Linked DNA regions of Caenorhabditis elegans. The protein of the gene in region 1 interacts with the protein of each later gene in a pairwise test. Each region holds a gene or a part of one and is shown on either strand. Other genes may lie near its edges. The genes, in order: itr-1, myo-2 and cyc-2.1.

Region 1 (3,758 bases):
AGATATGATGAGCTACAGGGTCAAAGGTGATTTGATACACGATTTTCGAGCAGAAATGCTGACTTTTCGAAATCTCATTGTTGTTTAATCAATCACGGGATGTACGAAAGGGATCTTGGTTTTGGATTTTTGAAAATCAAAATATTACAGGAAAATATAATGCAAAACTAGTACAGACTGTGAAAATGTTTCTAACCTTGATTTCTGCTCCGTCCAACTGTGAAATTACATTGTGTGTCAATTTCAAAAACGGTACGTGATTTTTTAGTTCTGGTTTTTAAGTGAACTTTATGTATATGAGCTCTGAAAACAGGAAAATAAGGGAAAATTAATAAGGTAGTCAGAATGAAATATTGCAATTCGAACATAAGCATTTAGTTTGAAACAACCCGTATTTCCCTTATTAGTTTTGTAGCTTCTAGTTTGTCATGCACTGATTTTCCGACAGACCGGCTATACTCTGTGGGAATTTCCGCAAAAATTAAATTTAAAATTAATAGATGAGATGTGGTATGTAGTTTTAAAAAAGTCGATGGATTCAGAAAATGCTCAGAAAAATCCGCGCATTAATTTCCAAAACTATCACATTTCAGAAAAGTATCAAACATCATATTTTTGGAGTCCAATACTACTTCTTCATTTCTTTTTTTTTTTTCTTTTCCACTAGTTTTACAATAAAATATATTGTTTTGTCCTAATGAAGCACATTTCATTTTGTAATGTTTTTTAACTTTCTACTGTAGGATATTCTATTCCGTAATCGTACAAATCTTCTTTCTCTCCCAAATTTAGGCTGCGCCCTGTTTCAAAGCTCTGCTAATAGTACGCAAAACAAATGTATTCGCTAACTCTTTCGCTCATTTCGGTATAAGTGTCACTTGGAGATCTCTTCGTCTCTCGCAACCCGTATTTGTATTGTTTATCTTCCAAAATGGTAGTCGACTGCTCATATGAATTGAATTACTAGCGGGATATGAAAGAGACATGAGATTTATAAAAAGTAACTGAATATTTCAACTTTTGAAATTGAACTTGTATCATTTTCGAAACTAAAATGGAAAAACAGGAACGATATTACTTCATTTTTCCACTTAAAGATGGAGTAGCAAAATTTGGGTGATTGTTTTTAGAATCAAAATTGATCCTAAATACCTATTGAGACAACTTGAAAATGTCTCAAAAATTATTGTATTAGGTTAGTCATTCTCTAAAAGAAAACGGGCAACCCTTCAAGTATTAAATCATTTTGAGCTTGAAAAGAGAGAACATTGTTCATTAAAATTCATGTTTGGGCTCCTAAATCTACAAAAAATATCACATTTATATTTTCGGCAATTCTGATTTCCTGTAATCGACAATTTCAGCGATTGCCGAAATCGTCGAAAAGTCGATTACCGAACGGCAATTGCTGCATGCTATGTATCACACCGTTTCAGCGTTGTGTATCGTATTTGTTCAAAGATAATTTTCTTGTAAATCTCGATGTTATTGACTACTGCAGCTAATACATTTGAATTCCCATTAATTCCTTTAATTTGATAAGTGTGACTTGGTTCCCGTTGCCCACCATCTTTTGTTCCTTTCCTCCTATCTTCAAATCAAACGCATCTGGAATCTATTTTTTTCATTGTTGTCTGTCTACCGATGCCAACGATCTGACCTTTCTTAATTGGTATTCGCGCTCATTTTGACATTGTGTCAACTTCAACTATTTGCGCGGGTTTACCTGCAAAAAAGTAAACAAGAAAAATGGAGATGAAATGAAAGAATTTCCAATAGAAATTTGTTGTTGAAAACTCTCTGAACCATGAGACCGTCCAAGACGTTAACATCAAATCTTTTCAATTCAGAAACGTTTCCTCTTTTTCTCCTTTTGTGACACGTTTCCTCCGTTCTTTTTTGGAGAGTCACTATATTTTTAATACGATTTTGCTTTACAATTTCTTTTTTAAACTTTTATTGATTTTGTGCTTCTTATTTTCCATTTTTCATAAAAAGTATTCCAGAATGAATCCATCATATGGCCGGGTTCGTAAGAAAGTATCCATTATATCTATTCCAGAGTTCGTTCCCGAGCATTATGAATGTAAGTTTTTACATTAAAAAAAAACTTCTAAAATCTGCTTCAATTAACGATCTTATTTTTTTTCAAATTTTCACCGATAAACTTAAATCTAATTGATACGGTTAGCATTGATGAAATCACTGAAAAATGTACAGGAAACTCAGAACTTTCTCAGTTTCAATGTTTCTTTTTAACCTTAAAGGTTGAGTAGCGAACTATATTTATTGTTCTCAAAATTCAAAACCAACGTCTAAATAGTCTCAAATTGAGCCTAACTTATTTGGCCAACGCCCCAGAAAAAAAACCAACAAGAAACACTTAATAAAACCACCAAAATGTGTAAAATGGAAGTTAAAATTACCGGGCGCCATTTCACAGGATATGTTTTGTTATTGTTCGTGTTAAAAGTTGGTCCATAAAGTAGATTTGAATATAAAGCCAAACTTTTGAGAACCGGTTTTGATTTTGACTATGATGAAAGAGTTTTGAATTAAAAATATTTAAAAAAAAAACACTTTTTTTCAATTCTTCTAGAAAAAGTGCATTTATTGACTCACCGTTAGAGCATATCGATAAAACAATAGACAAATACAATCATATGGGACATCAACCAGCAAAACACTTTAAAACACATTTTTGTTCCCGGAGGTCTCTATTTTTTCTTGTCTTTCAAAAGAAAAGGGGCACCTGTAAGCGGCTTACGTACCGTCTTGGTTGTCTATTGATGTATGTGAGGCATATACATCTATTTCATGAATGTTTCAACAAACAAAATATATACCGATTGTTGTGTCTCTTTCTCTAATATTTTCCTGGTAAACGATATGCATAAATTTCTGTTTCTCTTTCCTCTTTCCACACATCTGTTCGTATTATTTTACAAAATGAACTTACAGATGTTTTTTTGTTGTCTCGTTGGCATCGTAACTAATCGAAAATGATTGATGTTCGAACACGAATATCATTATATTTATTGTCGTCTTCATCTTTTTGTCGAATAGTTTGTATCGTTGATTTCTAACATTAGACGTCATCGAATCGTTCATCAAATTGTCGACCTGATCAATTTCTTTTTCTCTCTATTTCTCTTTACACAACTTCAATCTCTGAACTGTAAATTCCAAATTCGATTAAAAAGGCTAGAGAGTTTGATCGTTCTGGTTTGTGACTGAATTATTTGATGAAAGATCTAGTACGATTAATATGTTCATTATCAAAAGCTAGATGATCATTATTTGCCATTTTAATTCAAAAGAGGAATGATCCAGAGACAATGCATGAAGGAAATGATAATTAACTTGAAAATTATTTGGTATAAACGCCTTAACAGGTTGTGAAAAATTTAGGAAAATACCGAAATCGACAATCATAATAAAACACTCCACAATTTTTGATTTGGTGAAATTTTGTAAATTGTAGATTTTTCAGAAAGTTTGGACTTTTTGAGTAATTTCGAGCATTGCTACAGATGTGAACCTCTAGAATATTTGAATAAAAATAATTTCAATTTTCATGAAATTCAAAATTTTATAAAAATTGTTAACAATTGCCGACTTCCAAAATAGGTGAAAAAATTAAGTAATTGTCACTGTTTCACTGTAAGTAAAAAACTTTGATAATTTTTTACAAAGCTCTGCTAACTATAAGATATCCGGTAATTTCAATATTATTGGGCTGATTTGAAACAACTTCC
Region 2 (3,758 bases), on another chromosome or scaffold:
AAAGCTATCAGACTCGTTTCATAAAAACACTTACACCAAGTTTACAACCACTCCAAGAGCGGCTGTCAAAGCCATAATTCCTCCTTCTACTTCATAATCTCCGCTGACAATTCTCATAATTGCGAGAACAACTAATACTCCAGTGACTATCCAAATAAGGAAAACTGAGAAAAATGCTCCCAAAACTTCTGAAATTCATTTCAAACTATGTCGCTCAATTCTTCCAACTACCCACCGGCTCTATGAAACCCAAAGCTCATTTTTTGCGATGGTGGCCGTCTTGCAATGTACAGAGAAAACAGCGAAATGAGCACTGACGCAAAATCAGTGAGCAAGTGTGCGGCATCTGTGACAATTGCGAGTGAGCCCGCGAGAACACCACCAATAACTTCGCAAACCATAAAAAATAGGCAGAGCACGACGGTGAGCCATAAAATTCGCGTTGCTGAAACAAATAGTTTGAAGAAGGTTTCATTAGGACTCGAGTTTGGCAGAAATTTTAAAAGCAATACCTCTCCGATTGCTATCATGTGAATCTGTTGAGTCAGCTTCATCGTGGCAATGAAAGTTATCATAGGTGACTGTGGTTTTTCTACCTTCGTCTGTATTATAAATGTGAGGAACTCTGTAATACAAAAAGATCTCATGTTTTTTCTTTGGTAATACGTCATAGAAGCACAGGAAATCACAACTCTGATATAAACGAACATCAACTACATCACAAAACTAACCCATTTTCAAGTAGTGGTGCTCGTTCAGAAATCATTATGGATTATGGAGAAAAGGAAACCGATTAGGCCAATCGATTTTGTTTTGATAGAATTGAAGACGCAGAATAATTGTGTTGTGTATAGTGTACGAGAAAATGGAGCAACTTGTATATGGGCACTGTTATCATTATTGAATAGCGTGCGGAGGTTTAGAGAAGGAAGTTGTGTGTTATCAATCATAAACTAGAACATGTCTCGAGGCATTTGAATTGGGGGTGGTGGACAGTAACTGTCTGTAATAATAATTACTCCTGACCAGGTTGCAATTCGAGTTTTGATAAGCATAATTATACCTTGTACATTGTGGGTTTTGTGCTGTGGACGTTTTATTGTGACATCCCCATAAGCTACAAGAACAAAAATGAAATGTAAAAGTATTGAAAACGTCGTACATTTTATATCTGAGTAGTATCCTTTGCTTTAAATGTCCATAAAACTAATTTTATAATCAATAAAACAACGTTTGTAAATCAACTGAGTTTACAAGTAGAGACATTGAGGGATACTTTCACTATGCTAAAGTGATAATCGACCAAATAATAACTTCACTTTGGTATTTATTCCTGTCTTATAAATGTTATGTATGAATTAAATTCATATGCATATGGCTCACTCTGACAATTTTTAATAATCTTCCAGATCAATATTGACTACCGATGCGGGTGGTCTTTTGCTTTGAATTCTGCTGAACTTTACACCCCGAACAGCAATGTGTGCTTCAGCCTAAAAAAAAGTAAGTGTGTTAATCAGTGCCCCCGATTCTTCATTTTTTGCCCCTCTCTCCCGTTTCGTCGGCAAAAGAAGAGAAAATAAAGATAAGTCTCAAGATAGGTTGGTAATCGCTAAAGTGGTTGTGTGGATAAGAGTAGCAAAATGGCAGGAAGAGCACTTTGCGCGCACACACTGTACTCATTGTTCTGGATAAAATTCTCTCGTTGTTTGCCGTCGGATGTCTGCCTCTCTGCATTGAGCCGGCTTCTTCACTATCTTTAGTTAACCTAAAATGCCGTTTCTTTTCTCGTATCCCCACTATCCCGTTGAGGTTCTCTGCTCTCTTCGCTCCCTACCGCCAGCGAGCAACTATCCGTGGGGGCGCCTTGCTCGGAAGATGGGGGGGAAGAAAGAAGATTTTTGCTATTTGCACTTGAGAAAGAGACTTTTCCTGCGTCGATGGTTAGAGAACAGTGTGCAGACACTTTTCAGCTACCTAGAATTACAATTGGATATCCCCGCCTCCCAATCCACCCACCCAGGGAAAAAGAAGGGCTCGCCGAAAATCAAAGTTATCTCCAGGCTCGCGCATCCCACCGAGCGGTTGACTTCTCTCCACCACTTTTCATTTTAACCCTCGATCGTCAGACACAGAAATGGATTACGAAAACGACCCAGGATGGAAGTACCTTCGCCGCAGTCGCGAGGAGATGCTCCAGGTACTTTTATAAAGCATGGTTTTTTTGTCTAAAGAATGTTATAAGCTTGCTTAGTTTAAAAAAAAAAATCATCTTTATAAATTTTCACTTTTTTACTTCCATTTTTAAAGGATCAATCCCGCGCATATGACTCCAAGAAGAACGTCTGGATCCCAGATTCGGAAGACGGATACATTGAGGGTGTCATCACTAAAACCGCTGGAGATAATGTAACTGTGTCCATTGGACAGGGAGCCGAGGTAAGTGAATTTTAAAACCACTTATTTGTCAATTATTATGTTGCTTTTTTCTGTAGAAGACTGTCAAAAAGGATGTTGTCCAAGAGATGAATCCACCAAAATTCGAGAAAACCGAAGACATGTCTAACCTGACTTTCCTTAACGATGCTTCCGTATTGTACAACTTGAAAGCTCGTTATGCTGCTATGCTCATCTATGTAAGAACTTTGTTGTTATAGTTTTATGATTTAACATATTTTCTTTTAGACTTATTCGGGTCTTTTCTGTGTTGTCATCAACCCATACAAACGTCTCCCAATTTATACCGATTCCGTTGCCCGCATGTTCATGGGCAAGCGCCGTACCGAAATGCCACCTCACTTGTTCGCCGTCTCTGACGAAGCCTACAGAAACATGCTTCAAAACCACGAAAACCAGTCTATGCTCATTACCGGAGAATCTGGTGCAGGAAAGACTGAGAACACAAAAAAGGTTATCTCTTACTTTGCCGCTGTCGGTGCTGCTCAACAAGAGACCTTCGGAGCCAAGAAGGCCGCCACCGAAGAAGACAAGAACAAGAAGAAAGTCACACTTGAGGACCAGATTGTCCAAACCAATCCAGTTCTCGAGGCTTTCGGTAATGCCAAGACTGTCCGTAACAATAACTCCTCCCGTTTCGGAAAGTTCATCCGTATTCACTTCTCCAAGCAAGGACGTGTCGCTTCTTGCGATATTGAACATTGTAAGTTTGAAATCATTTCGAATGTTTGACCTGTATATATTTAAAAATTTTCCAGATCTTCTTGAAAAGTCACGTGTGATCCGTCAAGCTCCAGGAGAGCGTTGTTACCACATTTTCTACCAAGTCTTCTCCGATTACTTGCCAAACCTTAAAAAGGACCTCCTTCTTAACAAGCCAGTCAAGGACTACTGGTTCATCGCTCAAGCTGAGTTGATCATTGATGGTATCAATGACAAGGTAATACTGATCAAAACATGACGAAATGCAGATATTGTTTTCTTGTAGGAAGAGCATCAGTTGACCGATGAGGCCTTTGATATCCTCAAGTTTACCCCAACTGAAAAGATGGAGTGCTACCGATTGGTTGCCGCCATGATGCACATGGGTAACATGAAGTTCAAGCAACGTCCACGTGAAGAGCAGGCCGAGCCAGATGGCACAGATGGTAAGTTAGAAACGGGAAGCAGTAGATTTTTGGATTCTTGGAAACTTTCCTTCTATTTACTTAAGATCTCATGAGAGCGTGGGATGAGCGGGACAGGCATATAGAGTGGATTTAGCGGCGGGGTTTAAAGTTTACCTACTCATCCCCATCGAC
Region 3 (3,204 bases), 2.9 Mb from region 1:
GAAAACAGTTTGTGGGATCATCTTTCCTTTTGGAAAAACTTCAAGGAGTCCTTTATAAGTATCGATATCCTTATGAACCCCATATTCTTTGACATATTTTAGAGCTGTGTTGATAAATTCGACATGCGTTCGACCTCGTTTTTCCTTGAACGTGGCTGAAAACATAGATTAATCGTTGAAACTAGACAGATATCCAAACCTATCGCTGCCATGAATGCATCTTTATCTCTTTTCTCCGGTTCTATAGCTTCGAATTGCTTTTCAACATGTACTAAACTCGTCTCTTGATTCGCTGCAGCAAAGCATCGTATTTGATTGCTGATAACCCGTCGTGAAACATGTGCAAGAGCCATTAAAGTCTGAATATGTACAAATAAATTAATATTATAACTTTATAGTTAAAATAAAACATTTAAAATCACATTTCTATATCTTTTTAACAAAAAAATTGCTTAAAAATCTAAGGAGTAAGTGCGCTCCACCGCTCCCCGTAAATCGACGGCGAGTGTATGAAGGATACGGTAATAGAACACGCAACAAAACTAGCACTGCCGCATACACTTTTGTGCGTTGAAATTCATTTTGGGTTTTCCTGATCCTATTTTTTAGCTTTTTTCCGCTTTTCTTTTTCTGATTTTTACAAAAATTTAACAGTTTTTTCATAGTTTTTAAATATTGCAATATGCACTCATATTTTTTCGGTAATTCCCATCTACCTTTCCATTTTAAAAGAAAATTGTAACGTTATCCTAAAATTGTTTTTCGCTATTATATCAGATTGTTCATTCCCCATTCCTTGCATCATATTTTTGTTTTTCAGGGTTAAAACATGCCAACCAAGGCTCTTGGAGAGACTCTTAATGAGTACGTCGTCGTCGGACGCAAAATCCCAACAGAGAAGGAGCCAGTGACTCCAATCTGGAAGATGCAAATCTTCGCCACCAACCACGTCATCGCCAAGTCTCGTTTCTGGTACTTCGTCTCTATGCTCCGTCGTGTGAAGAAGGCCAACGGAGAGATCCTTTCGATCAAGCAGGTTTGTGGAAAATAATAATAATAACCCATTTTACAATAAAATTTTCAGGTGTTCGAGAAGAACCCAGGAACCGTCAAGAACTACGGAGTCTGGCTCAAGTACGATTCCCGTACCGGACACCACAACATGTACCGTGAGTACCGTGACACCACCGTTGCCGGAGCCGTCACCCAGTGCTACCGTGACATGGGAGCTCGTCATCGTGCCCAAGCTGACCGCATCCACATCCTCAAGGTCCAAACCGTCAAGGCCGAAGACACCAAGCGTGCCGGAATCAAGATGTTCCACGACGCCAAGATCAGATTCCCACTCCCACATCGCGTCACCAAGAGAAAGAACCTCAGCGTCTTCACAACCGCTCGCCAAAACACCCACTTCGCCTAAGTTGCGGATTATTGTTATTTGTTACAATAAATTGTTGCAAACAAATTTTTTTCTTAATTTTTCATTTTAAATTTGTGTGGTTTGAATCCTGTTTGTTCAGCTTGTTATTTGTTTACTGTTTTTATCTCGTGCGCAGCACTTGTTGATGTTATTAGATGATCATTGCAATGATCCATAAGGCATCGGACCGCCCAGCTGACTTGTGTGACTGGTAAATTTTGTCAATATTTTCAAATTTGTTCTTTTGCAATATAGATATCTGCTCTTCTATATTCAGTTCTTACGCTACTAGATCTGTAACTACATTCCTTAAAGTTCAATATCACTATTTCGATAAGGTAAATTAATTCTTAATAATTGAGATAAGTTGATAAAAATCTGGATAACTGTAGATTTTGTAAGTTGTAAGCGTTAGAAATGCGGTAAATCTCGTAGAAACTTTATTTTTTGTATTTTAAGGGCAAAACCTTTCAGATCATAGATAAAAAGTTCAACAGCGTCATTTTAGTATGTCCTCGCTGAATGATATTTCACCCAGACTCCCGAGAGCGACCGCCCGATTGTTCTATGGCCTTTCTGTGTCTCTGCGTCTCCTCGCCGCCCGAGAGATGGCACAACCCCCGTTTCTTTCTCGCTATTGCATCACGGGCGGTTCCCCAAGTGCTGCTGTGGCGGTTTCTTCCTGCTAGACTCTTTTAGTATATATTTCACTAATTTCTGTATTTTAAGGGTTCAACATGTCCGATATCCCAGCTGGAGATTACGAAAAGGGAAAGAAGGTGTACAAGCAGAGATGCTTGCAGTGCCACGTCGTTGACTCGACCGCCACAAAGACCGGACCAACCCTCCACGGAGTTATCGGACGTACATCAGGAACTGTGTCTGGATTCGACTATTCCGCTGCTAACAAGAACAAGGTACAACTAATAAATTATTTCTTAACGTTTATTATAAATTAAAAATTATAGGGAGTCGTCTGGACCCGCGAGACCCTCTTCGAGTACCTCCTCAACCCAAAGAAGTACATCCCAGGAACCAAGATGGTGTTCGCTGGACTCAAGAAGGCTGACGAGCGTGCAGATCTCATCAAGTACATCGAGGTTGAATCCGCCAAGTCCCTCTAAATATTCCCCTAAATGTTCTCGCCTAGCTACGGCAATTTTTCATAGTTAGGCACTTTCGATTGTTTTACTTTTATATATTGCACTAATTTTGTGTCATTCTCATTTTTAGTAGCAAGAATATACGTCAATTTGGAAAATAAATAATTTTCCTAAATTCGTTTTCCTTTTCCCCACAGTCGCATCACAGCAGGTGTACACTCTTCCGCTACCATAGCAACCAAAATGGGCACCAATGCACCAAGAAATCGGAACGAGCTTTTTGTCATGCATCTTCTTGGATTTATTTTTCTTTTAACTTATTGTTCGGCTGATACTCCAGAGGTTTGTTATCCGTCAGTTGTTCGGCACCGGATTGATTCGATATTTCCAACTTCTCGTTTGTTCTGCGTCTCCAAGCAAAATGGTGGGCTTTTTTTAGCTGAACGCGAACAAATTACGGAGCTTTTTTGAATTTAGATGATTTGGAATATGGTGACGTGGAAATTGTGAATGGCGAAGAGCAATGGAACGAATTTTCAAAATCTAGATGGCAGCAAGATGAATCTGATTCACAAGAAAATGTAACACAATTAAAGATCTACGCAGACGGAAAATTTTGCGCCAGAAATACTGTACCTGGTCTCGACACGCTTTTGTTTGTAAAACGCGAAAAGATAAATA

The links.
Region 2: the proteins of itr-1 (region 1) and myo-2 interact in a two-hybrid assay, tested with the Caenorhabditis elegans proteins (one study listed by BioGRID).
Region 3: the proteins of itr-1 (region 1) and cyc-2.1 interact in a two-hybrid assay, tested with the Caenorhabditis elegans proteins (one study listed by BioGRID).

The regions. Positions count from the first base shown.
Region 1 is NC_003282.8:7,673,167-7,676,924, forward strand, and holds the start of itr-1 (Inositol 1,4,5-trisphosphate receptor itr-1), read left to right. Parts: upstream 1-2,007; coding exon 2,008-2,086; intron 2,087-3,365; exon of another isoform or gene 3,366-3,515; intron 3,516-3,758. UniProt on the Caenorhabditis elegans protein: Receptor for inositol 1,4,5-trisphosphate, a second messenger that regulates intracellular calcium homeostasis.
Region 2 is NC_003284.9:12,466,012-12,469,769, forward strand, and holds the start of myo-2 (Myosin-2), read left to right. Parts: upstream 1-2,049; 5' UTR 2,050-2,137; coding exon 2,138-2,200; intron 2,201-2,310; coding exon 2,311-2,439; intron 2,440-2,495; coding exon 2,496-2,636; intron 2,637-2,685; coding exon 2,686-3,160; intron 3,161-3,215; coding exon 3,216-3,397; intron 3,398-3,445; coding exon 3,446-3,605; intron 3,606-3,758. Other genes in the region: cdf-2 (Cation efflux protein cytoplasmic domain-containing protein), read right to left, coding at 35-188, 236-445, 513-625, 732-766.
Region 3 is NC_003282.8:4,747,395-4,750,598, reverse strand, and holds cyc-2.1 (Cytochrome c 2.1), read left to right. Parts: upstream 1-2,149; 5' UTR 2,150-2,157; coding exon 2,158-2,337; intron 2,338-2,388; coding exon 2,389-2,544; 3' UTR 2,545-2,695; downstream 2,696-3,204. Other genes in the region: Y17G9B.5 (Evolutionarily conserved signaling intermediate in Toll pathway, mitochondrial), read right to left, coding at 1-155, 200-353; rpl-18A (Large ribosomal subunit protein eL20), read left to right, coding at 830-1,036, 1,085-1,420; tctn-1 (Tectonic domain-containing protein), read left to right, coding at 2,767-2,947, 3,001-3,104.